Linked DNA regions of Arabidopsis thaliana. The protein of the gene in region 3 interacts with the protein of the main gene of each other region in a pairwise test. Each region holds a gene or a part of one and is shown on either strand. Other genes may lie near its edges.

Region 1 (3,760 bases), on a different chromosome or scaffold from region 3:
CACCACTCGTACGGAGGAATACCGAGACGGGGTACTGAAGCAGCTGTGTTTGAGAGCTGACCTATCTTCTCTGGGAGCATGAGGAGGGAGACGAGAGAAATTGCTCGTTGTTTTATGGATAAAGAGACATTGCAGAAGGGATAAGAGCTAAAATGAGGAGGTTTACAAGGGAACTGTGGATGAGAATCGAGGTTTTTGAAGGTTTCAGCTATGGCGGAAGTGAAGAAGAGTAAGGAGATTAGAGTCAACTGAAGATTCATATTTTGGAGGAAAATAAATCTGTAGAGAAGAGTGAAAAAGGAAACTAAAAGGTATAGTTTTAAACCGAACTAAATAGACCGGTAAAATCTAAATTAACAGTTGGACCGGTTGGTTCACTGCTGTTTCTTGTTACTTGTCATTTGACGGACGGTAGAGGGGCCAAATCATTATGGGCCTTTATCTAATCGATTTATAGTAATTAATTAAGATCAGTGAACATTTATGAATTGGGGCTTTATCTAATCAAGGTCTACAATTTTTGTAGACTAATGCTTGAATAATTTTACTTTTACAAATGGGTGGGTTTCAAGTGTCTCTAGCTAGTTGACAAAAGAAAACATTAAATTTTATTTTAAAAAAATTAAAAATGATAGTATTTTAAAATTGTATATAAATTTTTTATTCACAAGGATTTAAAAATATTAATTGTAAATAACAAAAATTTTAAAACCACCAAATTTTATGTATTGTAGTTATATTAAAAGTCAGAATTATTTACTTTGGTGTAAAACTCTCTAAAATAAATGAACCGAAAACTCAAAACCCAATATTGAAACTTAACTAACAACCCCAAAATTTTCAAATATGCATCCATAGTGGCTTAGTCATGGTCACATAGCACATAATGGCTGAAGCTTATTCACGTGTTTCATCTTTTCTTATCCCTGCTTCTGCTTGCATGCATTCACCTTGAAAATTGTGTCATTTTTTTCTTATGGTTGTTACTTTATTTTATTTACTAAACCTTTGTCAACCCAACTGTTGATCCCTGGTTTTAGTTAAACCAACAATTATTAGGATAAACACATACTTTTTAAAAAAAGTCAATGGGTATCCAAGAATGATTAGTTTAGAAATTTAAATATATGAAATTTTGTTAATTTTCAATTTAAATGTTGAGAAATGAAAACAATGAATTGTCAAAGAAAAGCAACTTATATAATGCAGACAATAATGATATCCGATTGAGTAGTAAATAATGGAGTGAAGATAGAGTAGGAGACAGTGTGTGTCCACAAACTCTCACGCAACTCGCTTCTGATATAAGAAACAAATTTCTTTGACTTAAGCCTTCTTCGATCTCTTTGACCTGTCAGTCTTTTCTTTTTCCATATTAATACAATCATACACTGATACACCACAATGTAATAATTTGCGGAATTATGTCTATTAGAAGAGACACGGGTGTTTATTTTTTCCCGTAATTGATCGATATCGTCGGATACGAGTACTTTTGAAATGGCAAAAACTCACAATAATATATATCTATTCAAGATTTTTCCATGTTATTAACGTTCAGTGCCAAAAGCCTATCCAATAATAATAATAAAAAAGCAAATATGATGGCAGCTTCTCAATCTCGAAATCTAGACCATTATCTCTTACTTTTGTAAGCATCTGATTATTCATATTTGATATTTCTAATATTAAATACCATTCGTATCATATACATAAGTTGACTAAGGAAGAGAGCTAGATGATGATGTTCATTCATTTTGGCCGGGACATACTTTGTGGGTCAGATCATTTTTCCGATCAAAGAGAACGTATAAATTACTTAATATCGTCACTGAAAACGAACCATCAATAATAATACGATTCAGACAACAACACAAAAGAAAACGATATTAAGTAAAAAAAAAATTTCATCAATCTCAGCTTATGCCTCATAGGTTGGTGCTGGACCATGGATCAAAAACAAACACACTAAATTGTAATGTTTTCTAGTGGATCTCTCCTTAAACAACTAGACAAAACTACTTATTTGTATATATATTTTTAACTATTAAAATCCACTTTTTATGTAACAAACAAGTCATAAATATACATATGTCAAATGGAATAAAGTAATTCTAATCAGTTAAAAAGTGAATTCTTCATTACAATTCACACTTATGTAATGCATTTACATGCATTTGTATCTTCTTTGACCCCAAGCTCACAAACTCTGTTCACTTCCACTTTCACAAATAACAGAGTTTCAGAAAATAGAGAGAAAGAGAGATGGAAACGGAATTGACGCAATTGAGAAAACAAGAAAGCAACAATCTCAACGGCGTTAATGGAGGATTCATGGCGATTGACCAATTCGTCCCAAATGATTGGAACTTCGATTACCTCTGTTTCAACAATCTTCTCCAAGAAGACGACAACATTGATCATCCTTCTTCTTCTTCTTTGATGAATCTAATTTCTCAGCCACCTCCATTGCTTCATCAACCACCACAACCGTCGTCACCTCTTTATGATTCTCCGCCGCTCTCCTCCGCTTTCGACTATCCTTTTCTCGAGGATATCATACACTCCTCTTATTCTCCTCCTCCATTGATCCTTCCGGCTTCGCAAGAGAACACCAACAATTACTCACCATTGATGGAGGAAAGCAAGAGCTTCATAAGCATCGGAGAGACTAACAAGAAAAGGAGTAACAAGAAGCTTGAAGGTCAGCCTTCGAAGAATCTTATGGCGGAGAGACGGCGGAGGAAACGGTTAAATGACCGACTCTCCCTGCTCCGATCCATTGTCCCTAAAATCACCAAGGTCAAATTCCATAAACCTCATCCTTGTCACATGTTATATGGTTTTTATTTTTAAGTCAAGAAGAAATATTCTTCCTTTTTTGTTAAGTTCTTAACGTTACATGTATGTTTTCTTCTTGTTGAAATCTTTTTTTTGGTACACTGTTCACTGATAAAAGGTTATTGCTTTTTGTGAATCTGCATAGAGTTTGTTGTATGAGAAAATGTATATAATTTTTGATGATTATTATATAATAAAATCAGATGGATAGGACATCGATACTAGGAGATGCAATAGATTACATGAAGGAGCTTTTGGACAAGATTAACAAGTTGCAAGAAGACGAACAAGAACTTGGAAGCAACTCTCATCTAAGCACCCTCATTACAAACGAATCTATGGTCAGAAACTCCCTAAAGGTAAAAGCTAAAAACAAAACATAATGTTATTATGGTATTTGTGCTTCAGTACTCATAAGTCTTGTGTTTTTACAAATTCATCCCATTACAAATCATTTGTTACAAACACCCTCATCATATACTTGAATCAATTTGATTCCCATTAGATATCACTCAAAAAATTATAATCACTTGAAGGTGCAGACAATTTTTCTGGCTATAACGAAAACGAATCTTTTGCAGTTTGAAGTAGATCAAAGGGAAGTTAATACGCATATTGATATATGTTGTCCTACGAAACCGGGTTTGGTTGTATCAACGGTTAGTACATTGGAGACTCTAGGATTAGAGATTGAACAATGTGTCATTAGCTGCTTCAGTGACTTCTCATTGCAGGCTTCTTGTTTTGAGGTACAAATATTATTACACTTTGATTTAGCCTTACTTGGTGCATCGACAAATTAAATGTATATTCTATAATTATTTTCTGTTATATTCTGTTTTTTTCGTATATATGTAGGTTGGTGAGCAGAGATACATGGTTACTTCGGAAGCTACTAAACAAGCACTAATCAGAAACG
Region 2 (3,760 bases), about 14 Mb from region 3:
ACTCGTATATTACAAGTATATGTAAGGATTTCTTGGAAATTGAAATCACTGGGAAACAGAATATTAGGGATCTCCAAACCCTAGGACATTGATTCCTTCGAGATTACTGGTCTTCTTCGTTGTAGGCAAAAAAAAATGGTATTTATTGTTAATTTGTATTTTTCTGATCATGCTTGGACAAAAAAAATGACTCGTTCAGGTTAGAATTTAAAATTAAGTGTATGCGTCATATGACACAATGCTCTCGTCATCTTGTGTCTAACAGAGTGAAATAAAGAACGAACAATTGTTTGTATACACACAAATACAATCGCACCTACATGTGCACATATTTTATTACGCTTATCTATAGAAAACTGTTTGATACATTTTTTCATTCTAAAGTAAATACACAATCCAAAAAATACTATGTCATGTTAAGAATGTTTAGTATATCTATTTATTTTAGGACAAGGAACATTTAACATATAGTAAACAGTTTTAACAAAATTTCTCTGATTTGAAATATATTTTTTATATTATCAGTAAAAAGAAAACTGTAAAGGTAATTATAGTCGTTGATTAAGATTATACTTAGTTTTTTAAAATAACATGTTTTAAAAATTTTGCAAAATAAGTTTTTTTTTTTACATGTCTCATAATTTTTGTCCTCAGTTTATGTTAAAAATATTTTGTTATTTTGATACTAACATCTTCCATACGCTGAAAACATCTTTGAGAATATTTTTCAAAACACAATATACAAAAATCCACAGTGACTTTATTCCACGATGAAATGATATCAAGACATATATGTTCTTACCTTTACCTTTCAACGAAAATGAGAGAAAAAATATATATATATAGTATCACTTTTAGAAAATGTTTTTTTTTGCTAATTAATTATTATATAAAAATGTTGAGAGCAACTTGATCATATATGTAATAAAGTCGCAGTGAAAAAAAAAATGTAATAAAGTCGCATACCGACGTTGTGACTCGTTTTTATGTAATTGATTAGTTAAGTACAGAGTTCGTTAGATGTATTTGCATTGTTACAATTACAGAAAACCCTACGCAACACAATTCAGTACTTTTTACGTCAGCAAAAATAGAATCTTTCGTTGAAAATAATACCAGAATCGTTCTTGTCTTTAATTTTCTTACCTTTTTGTAATTGGATATGATTTTTGACTATGGAATTATTATTATTTTATTCTATAAAATTATAGTTTTTATTATTGGAATCATTTATAAATGCTATTACTCAGTGTTCTTTAAAGTCCATACTAACGAATTCAAGTACTTATTTAACAAAACAAAACAAACAAATACTAATAAACTAAAAGTACAAACATTACTATGTTATTAAAAAAAGCATATAGCTGCGTGATTTTAAAGGTATATGTGACATATAATACAACGACGCCGTCGTATTTTATTGAATTTTTTTGTCACTTTTAATTAGTATACAGTGAGGAAATAAGCAAAAAGAAAGAAAAAAATATTGTTGGCTCGGCTAGTACCTATAAATAAAAACACTAGTATTTGGCCCAGGATATAATCATTGCAAGTTTAGAACTAGTTAGCTAATCTAAACCGTTAGATCAAAGAAGCAATCTTACTAATCAGAAAAACAAAATTCAACAAGTTACAAGAATGAAAAAAATAGGGATAAAAAAAAGGATAATTCATTTACATTCGATCAAAAGGCGAATGCATAGATCATAGATGCAAGACACTTGTGAGTTGTGATATAACCAAAAATTTATTTAATTATATGTAATATATATTCGAAAAATTTATACACCGTATATAAAATATTCGAATAATCCTTTTCTTTGATTTAAAAATATTTTCTGCTTGTTTTCTCAACTCATGTATTAATTTAAATAATAAAAGTAGCTACCACCTTTCTCTGCCCCACTTTAAGATAAAGCTAAAGCATGGAAAAAAGCATGGGAAAAAAGTAAATATATGATATACAATCAAATAAATCTAAAAAAATAGAAAAGAAAAATTAAAGGAACGAAAAAAAGAGGGAGGAAAAAGACAAAATTAAAAAACAAAAATAAAAATTCCAAAAAAATTAACATCACATGTTATCAAATGAGATCAAAATTTAAGTTAGTTTTGAGTTTTCTCTCTCTTTCTCTTCTCTAAAACTACTTAAGCTAAAGAATCAAACACTTCTCAACGTTTCTCCAAAGCCTCTGATTAGTAAACACATAAAGAGATCTATAGAGAGAGAGAGAGTAGAGATAAAAGGTGATGAATAGAGGTGTGTTGGAGAGTTCGCCGGTTCAGCAGCTGATGGCAGCCGGAAACCCTAATTGGTGGAACGTAAGCGGCGGCATGAGGCCACCACCACCGTTGATGGGTCATCAGCAGGCGCCGTTGCCACCACATATGACTCCTAATAACAATTATCTCCGACCACGGATGATGCCCACTCCCTTCCCGCACTTCTTGCCATCTCCGGCGACTTCTTCTTCTTCCTCTTCTTCTTCACCGTCTTTGCCTAATAACCCTAATCTCTCTTCTTGGCTTGAAAGCAATGATCTCCCTCCTGAGTCTTGGAGCCTTAGCCAACTTCTTTTGTAACTATCCCTCTATCTCTCTCCCTCTATAAATATTCCAAAATGAAATATTCTCTATACGCACATGACATGATCTTGTGTTTACTTACTAGTTCACTCTTTGTTTTCTCGTGTGTTGCTACTTAGTCCTAATTACCTTTTTGTTATACGTATATACGTATATACATGTATGTGTTTGTATTTTAAGTATCAAACAAACAATCTAATATTTTGGATATTTTCTTTGTGAACTTAGGGGTGGATTGATGATGGGAGAGGAAGAGAGATTGGAGATGATGAACCATCATAATCATCATGATGAACAACAACACCATGGTTTTCAAGGGAAGATAAGATTGGAGAATTGGGAAGAACAAGTGTTAAGCCACCAACAAGCTTCCATGGTGGCTGTTGACATCAAACAAGAGGGTAACATTAACAACAACAATGGCTATGTCATATCTTCCCCGAACTCACCTCCTAACAAATCTTGTGTTACAACAACTACCACAACAAGCCTCAATAGTAACGACGATAACATCAACAACAATAATAATATGTTGGATTTCTCTAGCAATCACAATGGTCTTCACTTGTCAGAAGGGAGACACACTCCTCCGGATCGATCCTCTGAGGTAACACTTTTTCCACATCTCAGAGATTTTGATAATATACGGAAAAAGCTCGGAAATAATATCTAGTTTTACACATAAATTAGTAAACACATCAACTACTATGAAAAAGTGAAATCTAAAACGTCATTTAAAAAGATCAGGACAACATATTTTATTTTAAGGTTTGGATCTAAATTCAACACGCAACCAGGATGAGTTTTGCTCTGAATTTTTTTTGATTAAATGACTAATTGATCTTTGTTTTGTTTGTTATCTATATATGTGATGCAGTGTAACAGCTTAGAGATTGGTGGGTCTACTAATAAGAAGCCAAGGCTCCAACCTTCTCCTTCGTCACAATCAACCCTCAAGGTAACTAATTGATTATATCAACGAAACTTTGGATAACTTATATAACGTTTTCTGTATATAAATTCCCTCCCTGACATCATACTAACAAAACAAAAACACAAACACAAAGGAGAACAGAAGAAGCAAACAAAACAGAATGGGCACAGAATAAGCTGTGTGGTTTTGTGTTTTGTAACTCTTTTGTTCTCTCCTGTTTTGTCTTCTTCTTCATTCTTC
Region 3 (3,760 bases):
CGATAAATAAGTGCTATTTCGGGTCTAATGTTACACGTAGGGAACTACCTAAGAAAATGTGGTTCGCGTGTCTAATGCAAACTGATTTCCATTCGAACCTATAATGGCTGAAGAAATAGCTATCCACATATGATATGTTGATAATGATATATATTATAGATATTCTTGTGTTTAGCTAAGTAATATATAAAAATTTACTCCACTTTTTTCTCAATTGGTATGTGACATGCTCTTATTGGGTGGATAATGTACTAGACAAAACTTGTAATTTTTTTTTTCTTTATCTATAATAATATAAAAACATTTTGTGTGTTATATTTTCATACATCTATTTTCCTTTCTTCATAATTCGTTTGGCCTATTTTTCAAATGTAGTCTATTCAATTTTATTAGGTTGCATGTGAGTTTTGGACTCACTTATGCATGGTACAAAATCCAAGTTCTTAAAAGACTTTGAGGTAGAATAAAAATCTGTAGTTTGGGAGAAGGAAACAAAAATAAAAAGGTAAATTTCTTTTGGGGGAGAGTACTGTTGTTTGCCCTACAGACCAAGGCACTGAAATCGAGTTGGTATTATTAGGATACTTAACGTTTGGCACCCATGGCCTTGGCCTTGGCCATGTGCATTGTTCGTCCTCTTCTTAAAGGGTACTATTGTCATTCTTAATTTTTATAGCACTAAGTCAACACACCATATTGGGAAATACTTAAAGACCCATAATGTACTTGTTCTAGCTCGATTAAAAGAGAAAAAACAAAGTAAATGAAAAGTTGAAGTAAAAGACATGAAAACCCTTTTTGGATTGGAGAAAACTAATTCTCTAAAGATAGAAAAGAAAAAGAGGAAGAAGCAAGAGAGGCTTGGTCTTCTTTTCTGATCCTGAAACTGTCTTAATAAGAGTGAGAAGTACTGTTCATGGAAGACGTGTCCCCACCAAACAAAACTGTCTTCACTGCCCTCTTCAATAATACTTTTACGGGACCCCTCCTAGTCCCAACGCACAATCTCATTGTGTCTATACAGAGTTATATTATATATATACACTTAATTTCTAATAGTTGTAGCAAAACATATGGTAAGAAAATGAAATAAATACGGTTAATATATTATTATTTTTTGGTCAAAACGGTTAATATATATGTAACACCAATGAAGCCAACATATCCAAACACAGAAGAAGATTTTTGGATGATGATTTAAACATGTATATATGTTAGTGTGAATCTTCAAAGTTTCTGTTTAAGTAGAATTATTTTTATAGATAAAGTATTTTATATGTTTTTTGGTCGAGCCAAATATCGAATTCCTTCATCAAAGTCTATCGAATTCCTTATATTTACCAAAGTAAAATTCGTTAAGAACAAAAATCAAAGAGTATTGTCCCGAAAGAAAATTATTTTGAAGGCCCAAAGAGGACAAGGTCATAAATATTTGATCTGGAGGACAGGACACCCACGTATATTTTTGTCCAAAATTTAGGTTAAAAAAAGAAGAAGAAAGGTTATCTGTTTCACGGATTAAATATTTAATTAATAATACATACATATATTACTGTATGTGTGCGTGTAAAATACTAAATATCGACGACTATATATATAACTAGATAATTTAGCTATAGTATAGTATTTTTATTTTTCACCCTTGGTTTTTTTATACATATATGCACCGAACCTCTTCTTCTTCTCTTCCTCGTCTTCTCTCCTTTTATATATGTGGAAAACTGCATTTATTAAGAACAGTTTAGAAAGTGTCAACCCCTAAAGGAATGTTTTTAGTTTAGAGGAAAGAGAGAGAAGAAGAAGCAGCAGCAGAAGTTGTTAATTTGAAGACTATTTGAGGAAAGACACCTATATCTAAATACTCAAAGTTACAAAAATATTACTTCAGAAAACAGTTCCATTAGAGAGACTCATAAAGCTTCTCATGTAAGCCTCTCTTGTAATTTATTCTCATATACAGAATACTGTTTTGTGCATTTACTCTTCTTCTTCCTCCTCCTTTCATATGATTAACATTCAATGCAAAATTCTTGTAAATTCATTTTACAATAGCTTATCCAAATTCTGCTACTTTTATTATTGTTTCCTCTCGCTGCGACATTCTTTATTTCTCATCATTTAATGTTCTCTCCTCGTACATCCTCTTTGTTCTGTCTTAAGAATTCACCTACCAAACCATTTATTTCTCATACCCACTTTAAGATTTAGTAGATTTTTGTTTTCTTGTCAAAATGGTATCCTAAAACTAATCTCTCTTGTTTTTTTCTTTGTTGAAGCTAATTATGAGTGGATTGATGAGTTTTGGTGAATTAGAAGACCAATTTGGTCAGATTTCAGACACTACTATGGAAGAGAAGATACCATTTCTGCAAATGCTTCAATGCATAGAACACCCTTTTACAACAACAGAACCAAATCAGTTTCTCCAATCACTTCTCCAGATCCAAACCCTAGAATCAAAGAGCTGTCTCACCCTTGAAACAAACATCAAAAGAGATCCGGGTCAAACAGATGACCCGGAAAAGGATCCAAGAACAGAAAACGGAGCAGTAACGGTCAAAGAAAAAAGAAAACGGAAACGTACAAGAGCTCCAAAGAACAAAGACGAAGTTGAAAACCAAAGGATGACTCACATTGCCGTCGAACGTAATCGAAGACGACAAATGAACGAACACTTAAACTCTCTCCGATCTCTCATGCCTCCTTCGTTTCTTCAACGGGTAACAAAATGTTTTAAGGGTTCATTAAACAAGAACGTAATTTTTTTTTCTTTTCAAGAACGTAATTTAGCTTTAACAAGAAAACGTTTTTGTTTCTCTAGGGTGACCAAGCTTCGATTGTAGGAGGGGCAATAGATTTCATCAAGGAACTAGAGCAACTCTTGCAATCTCTAGAAGCTGAGAAACGAAAGGATGGAACTGATGAAACTCCTAAAACGGCGTCGTGTTCTTCATCTTCGTCTCTTGCATGCACTAACTCTTCTATTTCTAGCGTGTCTACGACGTCGGAAAATGGATTTACGGCGAGATTCGGCGGTGGAGATACGACAGAAGTGGAGGCTACGGTGATACAGAACCATGTGAGCTTAAAAGTTCGGTGTAAGAGAGGAAAACGACAGATCTTAAAAGCTATTGTCTCGATTGAAGAACTAAAGCTTGCGATTCTACATCTCACTATCTCTTCTTCCTTTGACTTTGTCATCTACTCTTTCAATCTCAAGGTAATTTTCTTAATCATCTCTTAAACTATCAGTTTCAATTTCCACTAGTTTAAGCATTATTATAAATAGTCTTATGTAACTAGCAATTTTTGACTTTTTGAGGAAAATTAAGGAATCTTCATTTTGAAATGTTTGGTACTTAAGAAAATTAAAATGCATGAGAAACCATAATAGAAAATATCTACAATTATGTGTGTGTGTGTGTATTTTTTTCCTTCACTCTAAGCTTAGAAAATTTTAGTTTAATTTTTTAGTAAGTTGCTAATTTTTGTTTAGTTTTGGAGAGATGAGAAATGAATGGTGTTGTGCATGCAGATGGAAGATGGTTGTAAATTAGGATCAGCAGATGAGATAGCGACAGCCGTTCATCAGATCTTCGAGCAAATCAACGGTGAAGTCATGTGGTCAAATCTTAGTCGAACTTAGTTGACTTTTGACTCCTAGTAACGTGTGTAAACTTTAGGTTACAAAGAAAAGGGACGTGATATAAATAAGAAAAACCAAAGAGGTGAAATTTTGGGAGTTTTAATTATTATCTTA

What was found.
Region 1: the proteins of AT4G01460 (region 3) and AT5G10570 interact in a two-hybrid assay, tested with the Arabidopsis thaliana proteins (one large-scale study listed by BioGRID).
Region 2: the proteins of AT4G01460 (region 3) and AT4G29100 interact in a two-hybrid assay, tested with the Arabidopsis thaliana proteins (one large-scale study listed by BioGRID).

Annotation. Positions count from the first base shown.
Region 1 is NC_003076.8:3,339,092-3,342,851, forward strand, and holds the start of AT5G10570 (basic helix-loop-helix (bHLH) DNA-binding superfamily protein), read left to right. Parts: upstream 1-2,108; 5' UTR 2,109-2,265; coding exon 2,266-2,802; intron 2,803-3,044; coding exon 3,045-3,200; intron 3,201-3,422; coding exon 3,423-3,590; intron 3,591-3,699; coding exon 3,700-3,760. Other genes in the region: AT5G10560 (Glycosyl hydrolase family protein), read right to left, coding at 1-260.
Region 2 is NC_003075.7:14,338,890-14,342,649, forward strand, and holds the start of AT4G29100 (basic helix-loop-helix (bHLH) DNA-binding superfamily protein), read left to right. Parts: upstream 1-2,075; 5' UTR 2,076-2,250; coding exon 2,251-2,579; intron 2,580-2,814; coding exon 2,815-3,193; intron 3,194-3,463; coding exon 3,464-3,544; intron 3,545-3,760.
Region 3 is NC_003075.7:619,052-622,811, forward strand, and holds the start of AT4G01460 (basic helix-loop-helix (bHLH) DNA-binding superfamily protein), read left to right. Parts: upstream 1-1,639; 5' UTR 1,640-1,926; exon of another isoform or gene 1,927-2,276; 5' UTR 2,277-2,282; coding exon 2,283-2,720; intron 2,721-2,821; coding exon 2,822-3,220; intron 3,221-3,535; coding exon 3,536-3,646; 3' UTR 3,647-3,760.